Linked DNA regions of Oreochromis niloticus. The protein of the gene in region 2 purifies or fractionates together with the protein of the main gene of each other region. This does not show direct contact. Links are inferred from orthologs where the notes say so. Each region holds a gene or a part of one and is shown on either strand. Other genes may lie near its edges. The genes, in order: nmt1a and acbd6.

Region 1 (8,837 bases), on a different chromosome or scaffold from region 2:
ACGAAGACATTAAAAGACATGCTGGAAGAAAGAGGTGATTTCTAAAGTGACTGAAAATTTGTGTTAGTCGCCAACAACCTCTGGCAAGCGGTACAACTTCATGGTGCGCTGCATAGTCATGTTCCTGCTCAGATGGGAAAACTTCACTTCAATTAGTTTTCGAGGGTTCAAAGAGCGATGCCAGTACCTGCACGAAGGAAATGTCATTAAGTACCAATTGATGCAGTGAATGAAATCTAACCCTCCACCACGGTGGGGGGGACGTAACAGGGTTAGAAAATTTCCCTGTCACACCCACCTGCATGTGCCCACAGGTTTGGGCAGTACCACTCCAGCGGTATACACCGCCTGAAAGATTCCCTGCAGGTTGACCCGTCTGGTAATCTCTCTGATCAGTACTGGAGCAACTCGTTTGGAGCGAAGCTTCTTGTGGACGCAGAGGAAATTAATCTCAACCATTTTCTTCTCTCTAAAGCAGAAAAAAAGCAATCATGAGACATTTATTTATTTGAATAACACACTGAATACAATCTATTAGAAATAGTAGTCATAGGCCAGTAGGCCCCCCCCTCTGTCTGCACTATTCTGTTCACTTACATGTCATAGATGTGAATGGTGGCAGGAATGGCACTGATAAAGCCGACCAGCTTCTGGTTGGAGTTAACCCTCACTCCACAGTGCCACTGAGGCAACCAGCCAGGAGGTCGCAGGGCCCTGAGGAGGACAAGGTCAGTCAAAAATGCCACACATTTCTTTGCACCTGAATTAATATTTGAACAATATTTAAATATGAGAAATTACCAGAGCAGGAACTCAGGAGAATAGTCAAATCGGAACATGTTATCATCATCTTCAACATAGTTCTCGTTGAGAAGGGTGTAAAGCTCCTTGAGCTGGTTGTAGAGAGAAGAAAAAGATACGAGACAAAGTCATCTTAAAAAGTCAAGAGCACCAAATTTAAAAACAAAACAAAAACAACAACAACAACAAAAACACATTTCTACAGTGAACATTTGACAAAAGGACAAAAATCGGACTGCAGCTATACTCTGACCAAACAACAAGCACTTCATCATAAACAGTCACATAATTACTGAGAGGAAAAACTTGGAATAAAAACAAAAATCCACTAGTTTCTTAGCAAAATGAAGTGCAAAGCACCACGAGTCCAGGACTTGTTACTGAAAGATGAATTCCTCCTGTGCATGCTTGCTGTGAGTGTTTGTGTTTATACGCTTTCTTACCACAGCGGGGTTCCCCAGGTCGAGGGTGTCCCAGCTGAAGCCCTGCGGGAGGCTGTAGGGCTCTTCTCGAATGTTGTCTTTGTCAGGTTCAATGGAGCCGTGTGATGTCACCGTCTCCCCTGAAGGAAAAGCAAACAGAAGTCTGACAAAGCACAAAAACCTGCAAAACATATACACTTGTCTTTCAGACCGTCACTCTTAGAAGACCAGAAAGCAATGGTACATATCCACTGGCCACTTCATTAGGTACACATTTCCAACATTTATGCAAATCTCTCATCAGCCCTTTACCTGACAGAAACTCTGTGCATGTAGGCAGGTAGACATTGATAAGATGACCTGCTGAATTTCAAACCAAGCAGCAAAATGGGGAGGAAAGCTAATTTAGGTGACTATGACTGTAGTACGGTTGTTGGTGCTGGATGGATTGGTCTGAATATTTCAGAAACTGCTGATCTACTACTGATTTTCCCCACAACCATCTCTAGGACTTAAAGAGAATGGCCAGAAAATTAGAAAATATCCAGTGAGTGGTAGTTATTTGGGACAAAATGCTTTGATGATGTCAAAGGAGCATAGAGCCAGGCTGCTTTGAGCTGACAGAAAAGCACCAGGACCTCAGTTAACTACTTTTTACAACAAAAGTATGCAGCAGAGCATTTCTGAATACACAACAGTCAAACCTTGAAGCAGACTACAGTGGGTGCCACTCTTGTCAGCTACGAACAGAAGACTGTGGCTAAAATTCAGCTTACCAAAACTGTAGAACAGAAGACATTAGAAATTTTGCCTGGTTTGATGAGTCCTAGTTTCTGCTGTGACATTCGGATGGTAGGGTCAGAGTTTGGCATAGATTTATGTTGCCAAAAGCTCAGGACACTGGCAGTGAAGCAACAGTGTGGGGAAAGCTTTCTTGGCCAGATTGGTCCCCTCAGAATAAAACAACATTTAAACTCCACAGCCTTCCTGAGTACTGTTGCTGACAATTTAATTCCCTTTATGCCCACAATGTACCAATCTTCTGATGGCTGCTTCCAGTAGGCTACCATGTCATATAATAAAGGTCAAGTAATCGCAAACTGGATACTTGAACATGAAATGAGGTCAGTGTACTCAAATGGCCTCCCAATTCACCAGACTGCAAACAAAAAGAGCACATCTGTGGTGTATTGAAATGGGAGAAATGCATGTGCAGCTGACAGTTCTACAGCAACCGTGTGATGTCATCATGTCAATATGGCCGAAAATTTCTGAGGAATGTTTCCAGCACATTTCAAGTCTACGCCATTAGGAATCATGGCAGTTCTGAAGGTAAAATAGGGTCCAATTCAGTACTACCATGGTGTACCTAACAAAGTGGCTGATGAGTATGTTGCATCCTCTTAACCATGCCCAATTACTGATTCCTTTCACAATTATAGACACATTTCATCAACAGATTGCAAAATAATGCTTTTGTACTGAGCTTTTGCATACTTGAGTCATAAGTACAAGCCTTTTTTCCTTCTGTTCACTCTGTGTTAACTGACCATCTGTGTAAGCCCACTTGCAGAAAAACCCCCAAAACAACAACAACAAAAACATTATTTTATCAATCCCTAAAGATTTGACCTATAAGCTACATATTGGCATGAAAAACAGAACTACGCCATCTGTAACCATACCTAGTTTGGGCACAGGCTGTGTGTCCCAGAACTGGTAACTCCTCCGAGTGGCCTCCTCCATGGTTTTGGCTGGACCTTGGCCAACAGAGAACAGTTCAATGGCCTTTTGGATCTCCTGTAGCTTATCAGCTGGCAACGAATTCACCTGTTTGGGAAGTAAACAGGAATATACATCAAACAAGACCACAGCAAACAGAAGTCAACACTGTTGATCCTATCTAAACAGTCCAAACAGTCTTTACCATTCTGTATCTAAACTGTGATTTTAGTAGATTACACCTTAACTGGACTGTTTTTCCTTTCTTTTTAGGTTAGGTTTATAACCCGTTAAGACAGAAATGCATAAGTTCATGCCTTGGCAAGGGGGTCCTGAGCTGCTTCTGTGGCACCAGATTTCTTCTTCTTTTTCTGCTTCTTTTTCTTCTTCTTGGCGCCAGTGTCGTCCCCAAGACCCCTCTCACTGGAACAGGACAGAAATATATGGCATCCTTTTTAAGACTGATCTCAGAAGAAAAGAAAATCATGTTGGAAATTTATTTTTTGCAATCTGCTTTTAAACAACAGCCAAGATTATTAAACCACCGACAATTCCAACACAATTTACTTTTCATTGCTGATGCAAAGCCTTGTTAGCTGAGGAGTAGCTGTGTGTTTAAACTAACAACAAGAAGTGTAGCTGTAGGGCAGCTAAAGACACAATAAAACCAGTCCTTCAGCTAAAACATACAGAAATTTACAACTCGTTTGCAGCAGTGCAGATTTTCAGAATAACCCTCTTCTGATCTGCTCCAACCAGAAAAGCCACATATCTCCAGCATGCTACTTCATCTTCTGGCAACATACTTACACAAGATAATCTCATTAGTGTCCAAGAGGGGAGAAATGCAGGCCAGTACGTGGCCTGTATTTGTAACACCAGCACAGATGGTGAATCAGATGACATCTAGAAGAAGAGTATCTGTGCGTGTGTGTTTATGTACTGTATGTACAAGAGCCCAGCAAGTGACTGGAACAATGGACAACAAAACATTCAATGGTTTGTTCTCCCACTTTCCATTTCAACAGGGTAGAGCAGTTAAGGGGCCAAACAATTGTTTCTGAGTGCAGGAAGGTTCAAAGACCTGCAGGGGGAATATGTTTAGCCATACAGCAAAGTGGGTTTGAGGTAGAATTCTGCAACATTAGGTTTATTCTTTTCTCAGACTTTATCATTATTCCCTTCTTTGTGTCTTTAAAAACGTAAACGTGTGGCTGTCGGGTCAGATTTCCTCCAGTTAGTGATCAGATTTTGCGAAAACCACCTTACAGAGGCGCATTCTTGTTCTGCTAAAAACAAAGCTCGGCTGCTTTGCCCTTTCATATATGACACAACTTTTTTTTTAAAGATACATTAAGAGAAAAACAGGGTTTTTATCAAAGCTTGTATTCAATAAGAGCAACCGAGCTGGGCTGCTTTAAGATCGCGAACATTTATGTGATTAAAAAGGAAATTCAAAGCCCTCACTTCACAACGCCGAGACCCAAGTATATTATTTTTAAGCTGCGTGCTTTTTGCATGCACGTTTGTGCTTGTTTCACTTTTGATCTTGCGCCGAATCCACACACACACACACACACACACACAGACAATGCCAGGTACGCTAGCATGCAAGCTAACACGCTACATGTCAGCTGGCGTAAACGTGATTTGCATCATTTACCCTTAACATAGCAACGGCATGCGAAGAACACCATAAAAAAATCAACTTAATTAAAAGTTTATTTTTTCTGAAAGGTTTGTGAGTAACGAAAACACAAGTCTTGGTGTAAAATTGGCTTCTAAACGCACTTTACCTTCTCCTTTCTAACCATATACTTAGGAAAACGCTAAGTCCAGCCTATATTTGGAAAAGACATCCTTCTCAGCCAATCGGATGAAAGAACAAGCAAGCGAACGTTGCTACTAACCAATAGGATGAAAGAAAATGGGCTGGACGACGTCTAAGGATGGCCGTCTATCCCGACTGCTCGCCGAGGTTCAGTTTAAGTTAATTTTGTTAAAATCTACAGAGCCGCGACGTATTTTACGCCACCGACCGAGTAAGCCTGCCTCCTTACCCATCGTCAAAGTGGTGCTCTTCATTTTCACAGTCGCTGCAGTGTCCGTGATCCTCTACATCTTCTTTCTCCGGCATCGGTGCTGTCTCATTCTCATCCGCCATCTTCAACCAGGAAGTGAGACGCCACCGCGTGCCCCTTGACACCTTTAAAACAGCCTCGACGCTATTGGCTGAGACACGCAGTGGAGGCGTAGCCATGGTCGTCCTGTTTTTTACCCGACCATTTCCAAATATTTACGATAAACAAATGGCTCGTAATGGAGCGGGCACGGCTTATCGTTTTAAAGCGTCCATTTTTAAGTTTTCACAGCCACAGTAAAAATATATTTTTTGTGTATTTAATATATTTTTCCCTCTAAAGACAAACAGCCATGTGACGTGCATACAACCCAAAGGCAAATGAAAGCGCTTAAGTGGAAACACGTGTGTGATAGTGCAGCTTGAAAGAAAATCTGAGGCCTAATAAATTAATATTACAACAGGGTGAGTAAGAAGGTAAAGTCATGCTCAGACTTAGGAATTGAATGAGACCAACTGAGCAGATTAAGCATTGTGGCGTTGATATTTCTTATTTGAAAGCCAGTTAAAAGGCACTAACAGGTAAAAAATGTACATTAGCTGTTCATTTACGTAGTCTGCGTAATGATTAGCGCCTCCAAAGCAGCCAAAACCTTTTAGGTCCACATCTTATTTATTTTCATAATAATGGGGGCATTAAAGAACCCAGTTTTTGCATGAAGTAAGCTAACGGGACATTCTTCCATTCACGTTTTGCATGAATATATTACAAGTAGTGACACGGTGTTTAATAATGATTACTACAGAAATGGAGCTACAGCTACAGCACCAACACTTGGACAAAATACCCATAGAGCTGCAACATGCACAGTATAAGAAATCATGGCAGTCACATGAGACGATAACATGTGACTGCCAAATAATTTGCTAATAATTATTTCAGAGAGCCGTGTGTGATTACTTTTTATTAGCAAGTCAACATTTTGACCTAGATATCAACAGGGACTATATTACTATATTTGAGGTGTATTTTTGAACCATTTTTGCTGATGTTAAAAACATGTCTGTCATGATTTTAGCGTCAACTTAAGACTTTTTACCAACGTTTTTCTTGAGGGAAAAAACTAATACTGACTTCCTCCCTTTTCTGTTGTTGTGGTGTTGCTGAGTGTCATTCACAACACACTGTGTGTGTTTTTGTATTTAATTAAGTTTACCACAAAATATTCAGTGGGTGGATTAGCTCATAATTCATAGAGATGCTTGGAGACAAAAAGAAGTCCAGTTGTTGGAGAAATTGCTGCCATGCTGTATAATGTGAAATGTCATAAATATTGCTAAGAGTTTCCCTTTTTTGTCTTTACTTTTGGCCTAATCAGGCAGGGACATATCTATTGATAGTTCTAATGTTGGAATGTAAAGATTTATTATGTTTTAGGCTGACAGTTTTAGATTATCACAGAAAAGTCAGACAAAAATTCACAGTACAACCTTCTGGTTATGCATTTATTAAAGTGTCAGGTATCCACAGACAACACTGTGGACTTTTGAAACTAAAAAAGACACTTGTATCTTTTGACAGCATGTGAAAAAAAAATGTTAGAAGTGCTTTATAAAAACATTTTTCTTGCAAACATAACCACTCAAACGCATCCCACAGCTTCTATATTAAACATTAAGAGAGCAAAGTTTTACTTCACTCACTATTAAACACATATTACATTCTCCTCAAAACCAGCGTGACCATTAAAAATGTAATTACAGTAATTACTTTTCATCGCTGGACCATTTTATTATCAGTGAACCTCCTTATAAGAGTATTAAAAGATTCACTGTAGCCTGGAGTAATTAGTGGTTGTATTAGATTGATGCAATTAGTTTTTAACCAGCATTTTTTCTAGATCTGAATACAAGGACAAAAATTGACAAAATGAAAGAAGCTTATATGGAAATACTGTATCGTTAAAATTCAAATATGATTTTAAAAAAGCACATTTGAACGTATCTGAAATGATGCTAAGATAAAATACAAGACATTTAAGAAAAAAGCTTATCTTTGCAAGTTAAGCTTGTCATGTTCTACTGGAAGATGTGAGAACATGTTAACATTTGTCTTCCAGAGAGAATTTAAAAGTGCCCAGATATCTGGAGTATCGAGTACTTGTACATAGCCAACATGGGCCACGGGGCCCTGGCGCACTCACTAACACAAAATTAAATCTGTATTACATCACAGTTAATGCTGCCAATAATAACATCTAAAACACTGACATTTATGGATATTGTCAAACACAGTTACTTACGCTTGGTTTCCATCTCATTGCAATTCTTTTATAGCATCAGTTTAAGAAGTGCTATTTTACTTCAGCGATCATTATTCTTCAAGTTTAAAAAAAAACACGTTAAAAAATAAAATGGTGACATAAAATAAATGATTTTCATTCTCTCTAACAGTCCCTTTTCTGTGTTTTTTAATGAATTACAGTCACCAGAGGGCATGTCTCCATTTCTGACAGACACCTTTCTTTAAGCACTGGGAAGTGGTTTTGTGTAAATTGGACCACTTGGGGTCTGAACTGTAAGACAACAGCAACAGCAGCATTCTGTCTCTGTCTGTTTACACTCGGAGCTCCTCCTTCCAAGGTCCTTCATTGTCCAGATGTCTGATTGTCTTGTTCAGATGTGTGTCACGCTTTGCCTTTGGCAGCGGCAATACGCTCAGCCATAGTTTTGACAGGAACACCTCTGCGAGTCACTTTGACATGGATAAAGAGTGTAGCAGGAGAAAGGCTGGAACCATCTGCCTTCAGTAAGTGAATATGTCGATAACCTGGGTGGGGAGTATGACACATATTAAAAAGAACAGCCGAGAGTGAAGAACTGATACATGACTGACTTGTAGACTAAATCTTAATAAGCACCTATGCGAAAGCTTGTAAAAGGTAAAGTGAACTGCCCCACGAAGTCATTTTTGGTAGCATGATCGTGGTCCTCCACTACAAACCGCACCAGGGCCAGCTCAGGGACCTGCAGCTGGAAGCTCAGAGTACAGTCCCAGCGAGGGTTGAAACCTGCAGAGGGCGCACAAGAGCTGTAAATACACCATCTGGTGCATTAAACCTTTCAAACAAACTAATCATGGCATTGGATTGAAAAGACTCCTACACAAATATATATTCCAAGATTTGAATAAGGTACAAAGAAGCTTTCGGACATCATCTCTTGTCTCCTGTCGCTGCATTATAAAAGTAACACTAATTTACAGAAATTTAAATATTCATAGATAACGAAGATATTATCAATCTGCAAAGAAAAAAAATCAAATAAATTTCTTAAAAAATTTTTGTTGTTGTGGATAAAAAAATAAAACTTACCATTGTTGTCAATGCGGTGGGTTTTTTGTTTTGCTTTATCAATAGCCACCCCATGAATTTCCACCCACACTAGTGGATCCACAATGGAGCTCGCCTTCTCTGTGTTGATTTTTGGCAGCTGTTGTGCAGATATTATCTGAAAAAGCAAAACATAATTCATCATTGTGTGCATGAAATTATCATTAGAAATGTATAAAAAAAAGTCTATTGGAGGCAACTTTTTTGCAAAATCCGAAATTGCAAATTGCGCTAACAGGGCTCGACTGGATAGCACACAATAGCTCTATGTTTAGACTCTAGTTTAGACATAAGGGAACTCTTCCAGAGGAACAACAGAGGATGGCCTCTCTATGATAAAAATGTAAGTATGGACAGTAATAACAAGAACTAAATGACACTACGAAAAATAAACTTGCCACAAAAAGGAAGGAAACTTCC
Region 2 (8,837 bases):
ATCATGTCTTAATTTTGTGACTATTGTTAATCTTCTGTGTTTTCATGTGATCCCACATTACATTCAGCTCAGCCAAGACTTTATTACCCAGACTATTCTTTGTGGGCCAACCTTGACTCACAAAAGAGCCCACACAAATCTGATTTCAGAAAATAGGCAGAGTGGGGAGAACATGACAAGCGAAGCAAAACAGTGCGTGCACTTTTGGGACAACCTAATTCACTTCAGAAACTCAGAATATTCGCTGATGCACTGGCCCTGCTCCTCTGCAGTATAATGCAATATAAAGGCAGTGTCTGCTCAACAATTGAGACGGGAACAGAGGTCAAACTGTGGCTATTATTCTCTCCCCTGCTTCTCTGTCTATGCACTCCTACTTACACCATTTAACTGTGCTTCCAAAAGAATAGCTGCTGCCATGCTATGGCGCTTTGTTAACACTAATAGAATCAGGTTCTTTACAGGCAGGGTAGCGGTGCTTTTGCTGGGCCCACCTCTGGTATTGTGTGGCTTAGGGCAGAGTCAGCGAGTATTGCCCCACAGCTTGGTGGAAGAGAAATGTGTCAGGATGGGATATGTGGTTGACAGTGATGCTATTTGGGAGACAGAAATGACGGTGGGGGTGGGGGTGGGGTGTGGGTGGGGGGGCAGCAAAGTGAATGGAAGACTGGGAGGGGGTTAATGGGAAAAAGAGCAAGTTGCACAGACTGCCTTTAAAAATGAATGTTTCAGTGTTCCTTTGCAGCCAAGCATAGCTGTGCATATGTGACTGTGTGCCCATCCCTCTGTTTAAAGAGTGCACCCTTTCTCATGTTCACATGTGCTCTTTGTATCACGAACACAGCAAACCATTCATCTCAAAGAAAGACACGATTTATGAAAATGACACCCCAGTTCCACGAGAGTCGTGATGCGAATCAATGATCTGCAAGTCTCAAACATATATTTTAGTCACAATCCAATACAGAAAACACTGAAATGCTTAAACCGAGACATTCGACTATTTTGTGTAAAATATGAGCTCGTTTTGAATCTGATGGCAGTGACATGTCTCAGAGTTGGAGGAGTAAAAGTGAGTAGTAGTTAAAAGAAAGAGCTGGAGGAAGATTTTGCAAAGTTAGGTTAACTTGCAACAGGTCAGCAGCATCACTGGGCATAAAAGAGCATCTTGGAGAGACACAAGTAAAGATGTGCATCAATTTGTACAAAACTGCATCTACGAAGAACAATTTCAGCGCGATGATCCTCAGCTTCAAATTGTGAAGACTTTAAATATTTTATCATCTACAGGACACAACATCCTTAAAAGGTTCTATGAGCCCGAAGAAATCTGTGATCTTCAGGTGCATGACTGTCATTAAAGTCACTGCAGGGCTCAGGAACAGTTACAGAAATAAAATGTTCACCATGTCATCCACAAACGCAGGTCAGAGCTCTATCATACGAAGAACATGTGAACATGATCCAGCCATCTTCTCCGGGCCAAAGGTCATTTAAAATTGTCTGAAACAAAGTGTAAAACTGTTTTGTGGTGAGATTAATCAAAACTTGCAATTATTTATGGAAAACATGAACACAGTGTCCTCTGGACTCAAGATGAGCAGGTCCAAAATCCTGCATCTGTGATTGTAACGAGCGCATTTGTGCCGCTGGAACATGATGGTTTCAGGATTTCAGTACTGATGGGTGCTTTGCACATCTGGAAAGGCTGAAAGGTGTGTATGTAGGTTTTATAGCAACACATGCTCCCATCCAGATGAGCTTCTTTCAGGGACGGCCGTGCATATTTCTGGAAGACGATGATGATCTAAGAAGAGTCCAGATGCTGAAGAGGCCTGCCTTTAGTCAAGATGTTTCCCAAACTGAAAACATTTGGAGCTTCATGAGATGAAGAATATGACAAAGACCCAGGACCGCTGAGCAGCTAGAATCTTATATCAGACAAGAGTGAGACAAAGTGCACCAGCTGAGCAGACGCCCTTCAGCCCGGGTTCAAGTAAAACCTGGGACCCTTTGCTGAGTGTCTTCCCCTGCTCGCTCTCCCCCTTTTTTCTAGTCTACTCTTCACTGCTGAACCGTTTAAAAAAAAAAAAAAAAAAAAAAAAGCCAAAAAACCAAACAAACAAACAGAATGAAAGAACGGGACGCCATCCTCTCCCTACAGTCCAGCAGCCGGTCTCCTCAGTTTGCAGATGTTTACACACTGTTGTTAACAGAAGAGGGGATTCTGCACTGTGGTAAACATGGATCTGTCCCAATTTATTTATTTTTTTAATATGTGCCGTCAAATTTTAAATAAGCTTTTTCTTAAAATGGTTCATTTTCTCGGTTTAAACATTTGACATGTTTTGTGTTTCATTGTGAACATTTGAGTTTTGGAATATAAAATATCATCAGCTTTGTCCTATTAAAGATTTGTGTTACATTTAGTCCTCGTTACTACACGAATTGTATATGAATGAAAATATGAATCGAGTCAAATGTGTTTTGAGAGGTCACAGTAACCTTGACCACTAAACTAATCACTTCAGTCCAAGTGGAGGTTTGTGCCAAACATGAAGAAAGCATTCCTGTGATATCAGGTTCCCAAACGGACAAAAGAAGGATGGAAGAACAGACGAGCCATAAACAGAATTCCTCGGGCCAAAGCTATTATCAGCAAAGGCAGCATAAGATACCCAATATCTAACAGTGACTTTAATAGATTATCGGAGAGTGTAAACACTAAACTGTGACACTGGTGCTCACTCACTGCTGCAACAAACTTTATCATTCCAAGTTTCAGATCATCTATAAAACAAAGTATAAAAATGAGTGTTTTATCAGTATGAAGAGCATACTCCATTACTGCAAACCATCCAAGGTTGGTGTTGAAACCTAATGTTGTCCCAAAGAACAACATGTTTAAGGCAACTCTCCTGACACAGACGAATAAGAGTGTAGAGATGTAAACAGTCACTATACAAATTACCACATCCCAACAGCCTTAATATTAACATTTCTTAAATAATTACTATTCCAAAATATCAGCCACTGAGCAAAACTGCACAAAGTGCTTATTTTTCTTTGTAATGTGCAGAAAATGAGCTGCAACACGGTTTCAACAAAATGACAATGTGACAGTGACACCTGCTGGTAAACACCCGGTACTTCACCTTAAGGGCACACCAATGACACGGATGGTTCTGTTGTATATCCGTCATCCTTTTTATCCTAATTTCAGACATCTTACCTTTAAAGGTTTGTTTTAGTTCATGCACATTTCCAGATTTTGTTATCAGGTATATAAAGTATTAGTCAGAAATAAATAACAACCAGGAAGAAACAGAATGACACTGTTGTTCCTTATGTGGTAAGTAACTCAGAATTTTCTCTACGCATAAACATCACAGTGCACTTCTGATCCAGCAACACCCTCAGACAAAAACTAGTTCACCCCCGAACACAAGCTCAACAGCGTAGTGTACCATGTGAGGAGTGCTCGGACCTTTACGTAAGAGAAACAAGACTCCACAGACGCATGGCACAACAAGAAAGTCACATCAGTCAAGACTCAGCTGTACACCTTCTCTTAAAGGGGAAAGGACACTCTTCAATGATGCCAATGTTCAGATTTTTCACAGATTATTTGAGAAAGGAGTACAGGAGCCCATCTATGTCCACTGTGAATGACCCCTGGTGACAATGACCCACGCCTTTTTTCAGGCCTGGGCTCATATGAAGACCCACAGGATCACTACCACCTCCAAGAGGACAGCCTCTTCTAGGGGTCAGATACCTGAAACTCTCAATCTCTTGTTTTAGAACAGCAGAAGCCTCTTGGATGGGAGGTGAAACATCTTCAAGAAGCAAAAGGTTTAGTTGCCTTCTTTTCAAACACTTCAGACGACCACATAACCAGAAAATGTATAAAGTGACGAGCACCAGAAACTCTTTCTACATATATTCAAAACCAAGACCATAAAAGTCATAAGGAGCATGATGAATGGCAATACTAACATTGACATTCAACAATTACCATTCTCTACAAAAGGATCGTCATCCATAAAATCAGATTATTACCACAAAGAAAACTGCTGCAGTAAAGGCTGAGCTGAAAGCAAATGAACTGTTATAAATGTATAATTAATGTTTTATAATCTATGTTATCATAAGATCCACTGCAATAAAAAGGTTAATTTGATCTCTTTATAAACTTACTGGTGACCCTCCACAACAGTCCCAGTTTCTCGTATGGCCCCTTAGGAACATTAACCCACCTCTGCTTCAGTTTGGAATCAAAATGAGGATTAAAAATAAATTCTCAGGAATTACCTTTGTGCTGCCTTCAGGGTCTAAGATGTTGACACAGGAAATATACTCTTGCATTGCTTGTTCCTGATCCATGTCTCCAAGCTGCTTCCAGGCTTGCCTGTTATGATATCACAATTACAAAAGTAATGACCGTTAAAGATTTTCACACCCCGTGAACTAAAACATGAAAATAGAACTATTAGATTCACTGACTTGCGTGGAACCATTTTAATACTTTGCAAGAGGACAGGTTGTTTGTGAATAGTGGTTTATTTTAAGTAGCAGAAACATTTTTCTTCATCAAGCATCTGAACATGGATCCCATCATGGGTGCTATCTGTTGCCCTCACAGACACACTTGAATTAGAATCTAAAATAGAAACACATTACTGGTTTCCCTTACAGCATATGGCTGCCCCTCCCTGAGCCTGGTTCTGCCAGACGTTTCTTCCTGTTTAAAAGGGAGTTTTTCCTTCCCACTGTTGCCAAGTGCTTGCTCGTAGGGAGTCGTCTGATTGTTGGAGTTTTCTTTTTATTATTGAAGGTTCTTTACCTTACAATGAGGCGTCTGCTGTTGTGATTTGGTGCCATTTAAGTAAAAGTGAACTGAATTGACTTACTTGACCTATAAGGCTTTAAAAATATGTGCAAAGTGAAATCTGGGCTACTTACCATTTTCTTTGTCCTTCAAAGTCAAAGAAACCAGGTTTTGGTGTATTGCACTTCCCCACTTTGACCTATAGATACAAAATCACATTACATATCTGATTTAATGTCACCTGCAGCTGTGAGCCTGACTCGATTAAATACCAGAGGAGTCACATAAATGCTGAGATTCATGGCATGTGGGGGTGTCCCGTCTAAAGCTGCGTGGTGCAACTACTTGAAGGCTCGAGTGTGGCCGACACACACACAGTGACATTTAACCGTACAATCACCTGTTTGTAGCGAGCGTACAGGTACAGCAGCTGGTCCCTGCTGGCCGTCTGTATCAAGTCTTTTACGCGGTCGGCGGCAGACTCGAACTCGCGCTCCAGCTCTTCTCCCTCCAGCCGGTCCCCCACCTCCATGGCGCTGCAGTCAAATTTACTCAAACCCAAGTCCGAATCCGAGTCCGAGCCTGCTCCACCGAGGGGCTCTCCTGTGTCGGGCCGGGCTGGATCCGTACCTGAGCCCGTCGCGGTGTCCGGAGAGGACGACGGCGAACCAGAAGCCATTGTTATTATTGTTTATAGCGTCTCAAACGACGGGAGCCGCGGATCTCCGTGAGAAACGCTGAGAAGCGCACGGAGAGCAGCTGCCTGTTATTTATATTATGTCTGCAAAGTGTTTCAGCAAAGACTTGGATTTTAATCCGTTATCGTAGCAAATCCGTGACAGTCGGATCTGTTTCTGCCGTAGGTCCGTGTCTGGTACTGTCAATTTAAAAGCGCCGGTAAAAAATCGCTGTTAGTAAGAAAGGTTCCGACTCCGGTACAAGTAAACACGCGAACACGCGCTTTTCTGTATATTTGTTATGAATGATTAAACAAAAACTAAATATTTTCTAAATGAAAATAAAGTATTTAAGTTAGCCAGATAATATATATTATTATTTGACCTACGATAACGTGACATAGCAACCTACACAGCAACCAGGAAAAACTCGAGCGCTAAAGTAGCTTGCGGTGGGTTTGTTGATACTTTGGGTGGAAAAATGTTTATTGAAATCTCCTCAAATAATAATAATTTAAAAAACTACGTAAAGTACTGTATTTCGAGACAGCCATTAACCCATTTCTTTATATTTTGCTGGAAAATTGGAATTGGGTACAGCAACTGATTAAAGAAATCTGCGAAGATAAATCAAAATAAAGCTTATAAGGCAAAATCAAAGTCTGTTCCATTCTAATGACTTTGAAAGTCAATATTTGTTTTGAACACAGTTATTCCTCATAGCCCGAAATCCCTGTAGTAAGCTTTCTCGTCATTTCTGTAAGTACTCTTCAGCAATAGTTCTCCCGGCTTTGGAGGACATTCAAAGCTCTTCTTTGGATGTTGGCTGCCTGTTGTTCTGTTCTCTGTCGCGCTAAGGCAAGGTGGATCAAAATGGGATGGTACTTTTTTGTTTTCGCAGTTTCATTTGACAAGAGTCGAGTCTATTTCCTAGTTCTTAAGTAATAATAAGGCACACCTCAGCCTTTCCTCGGTGTCTTTTTGGCAGCCGCTATTATACAGAGATCATTTCTAATGGTCCTTCAGCTGCAGGGCCAAATGCTTCTATCAGGTCCCGTGTCAGGTCTTTCCTGGACTTTTTTCCCTTCTTGCCACTTATTGTCCTATATTTGTCCGGGTTTTCTCCGTTTTCCTCCGTTTTTTCTTCCTCCTTACAAAACAAAACAAAACAAAACAAAACAAAACAAAACAAACATGCTGCTCACCATGCTGAGATATGCAACGTTTTTAGGAATCACCTTGTTGGTACCTAGTCGAGATATCCGTCAAACTGTGTTAGCTTCGACATTTTTCACAAAATAGAACAAATTGTGTTTTTGTGACAGACTGTTAGTAACACAGTGCCTAAAAATGAGGGTCTGGAAACTTGGAAGAAAAATGTAGGGAATGAACAATCCGTCCATTCTTTATCCATTCTCGAGACTTTTGCGCAGTACTGTATATTCATCACAGACATTTCCTGGTAGAACATTTTTGTGTGTGAAGTCTGCATGCGATGGGTTCTATTTTATAGGGACTCTTATTATCCTAACATTAGGATAACTACAGACAAGAAGGTAATAGCCTAATTTTAAGACTCAAGACTCAAGAAGTTTATCGTCATTTGGGATGGTGTCACCCAGCCTGAAACGAAATACTGTTTCTCAACAGCCTCTCCAGTGCAATAAGCAATACAGTTCAAAAATAATAAATACAGTTTAAAAAGAATAATTTTTAAAAAGAGCAGTAATGAATTGCAACAATAGTTATGGATAAATAAATAGCATAAAATCAAAGTTCTAAAGCAAACTCCGGTCACATTCGTTCGGGTACAAAAATCCTTAAAGGGCCTCAATTTAAAACTTTTTAACGACGTTTTTCTGTCCACCAGATTTTTTTTAAATAAATGTTTAAATTCTACTTGGATTCTACTGCAGCACATATTAATCAACCTGAATGTTTGCGACACCTGCCACAGCACTCTTTGTGACAACAATGTATTAGCACATCGTGTCCAGCAGATGGTGCTATTAACACAAAGATGTTTTATTTTTGCGTCTGGCACTTTTTATCCCAAGTACATGATCTCGCTCACCACGTTCACCCGGACGAAAATGGATTCAGCTGAGAAATAATCGAGTAGCCTGAGCTTAAATCGATGACGTTTTTATTAAATTAAACGTTTTTTTTCTCTTTGAGTAAAAGCTCAACTTCCAAATTATTTCTGCTTCGTATCTTTCTGTTTCTGTTCTACTTCATATGCGGTAAACACGGGGAACTTCCCAGTATATTAACAGTATTAATGAATATCGTTTTACGAAGCTAGTGGTAGCCTGTTATCGTGTTCTTGTAAACCTGTTTTTAGACCGAAAGCTACAAGCAGCTTACATTAAGCATCAGTGCGTATAATTTGTTGTCTACGTGACTTTCTGCCATATTGTCTACTTTTTCTTCACACGACAGAGAGATAAGCCTCACAGACACGTATTAGTTAAAGAAATAACTGTATATTTTTTAAACGAGTTATTACTGTTGGTTGATCAGTTTAAATATATATTTAACTTTGTTCCTTCTTCTTTTTGTAGACACGCACAGCTGACAGCTGGCTTTCTAACTACTGTACAAAACCCCAAAGGAAACAAAGTGAAGCGAAGACGGTGAGGGGGTCCTAGGGTGCACCACTAACAGTTTTCACGAGGTCCCAACAGTGTCCGAGTTACACTGCGCGCTCTGCTGACGCAACCACGTCACAGTGGTTCATAGCGATGGCGGACCGCAGTGTCCCCAGACTTGCCCAGGGAGGGACCGAGCAAAGTCACTGAGCCACTTTCACCGGCTCCAGTAACCTGTCGCCCGACCACCTGTTAAACGGAGGCCACTGTTGTTGTTCTCGTTGTCCCTCCCATGAAATAGTATGTGGGACGGGATCTGCTGGGAGTGCGCAGACCGGGACGAGCCAGAAGTGGAGTGAGCAGGAGCGCAGTGTGCCGGGCTGACGCGCCGCATGTTGAGCCAGCAAGTTGACTGATATAATAAAAGTCGCGTCGACGGGGAAGGGGACAGCCGCGCTCGGATTTAACAGAGCTTTGAGGGGGACACTTGTTCCGGCAAAATGAAATTCGCGGAGCATCTTTCGTCCCATATCACTCCAGAGTGGAGGAAACAGTATCTTCAGTATGAGGTACAGCAGAATTTATGTTTATTTAAAATGAATTTGAGGTGGAAACGGACGTTGACCAAAACGGAGCTGCTTTCATAGTGCATAAGGAAACTGGAAGAAAAGAGTCGCGATTAACTAAGGGAAAAATGTAAAGTGTTTTAAGTTTGATTTATTTTTCCCAGTTTCAGTA

What was found.
Region 1: the proteins of acbd6 (region 2) and nmt1a purify together in Homo sapiens (co-immunoprecipitation; 3 studies listed by BioGRID and IntAct, with this or other methods). This does not show direct contact. The link is inferred for Oreochromis niloticus from reciprocal best matches to the Homo sapiens genes ACBD6 and NMT1.

The regions. Positions count from the first base shown.
Region 1 is NC_031969.2:27,688,999-27,697,835, reverse strand, and holds the start of nmt1a (glycylpeptide N-tetradecanoyltransferase 1), read right to left. Parts: upstream 5,221-8,837; 5' UTR 5,206-5,220; coding exon 5,006-5,205; intron 3,369-5,005; coding exon 3,263-3,368; intron 3,054-3,262; coding exon 2,909-3,053; intron 1,364-2,908; coding exon 1,245-1,363; intron 894-1,244; coding exon 802-893; intron 715-801; coding exon 598-714; intron 470-597; coding exon 299-469; intron 188-298; coding exon 79-187; intron 1-78. Other genes in the region: plcd3a (1-phosphatidylinositol 4,5-bisphosphate phosphodiesterase delta-3-A), read right to left, coding at 7,713-7,855, 7,947-8,096, 8,400-8,535.
Region 2 is NC_031986.2:44,135,786-44,144,622, forward strand, and holds the start of acbd6 (acyl-CoA-binding domain-containing protein 6), read right to left. Parts: upstream 5,721-8,837; 5' UTR 5,511-5,720; coding exon 5,232-5,510; intron 5,031-5,231; coding exon 4,966-5,030; intron 4,412-4,965; coding exon 4,315-4,411; intron 1-4,314. Other genes in the region: xpr1a (xenotropic and polytropic retrovirus receptor 1a), read left to right, coding at 8,600-8,668. UniProt on the Homo sapiens protein: Binds long-chain acyl-coenzyme A molecules with a strong preference for unsaturated C18:1-CoA, lower affinity for unsaturated C20:4-CoA, and very weak affinity for saturated C16:0-CoA. Does not bind fatty acids. Plays a role in protein N-myristoylation.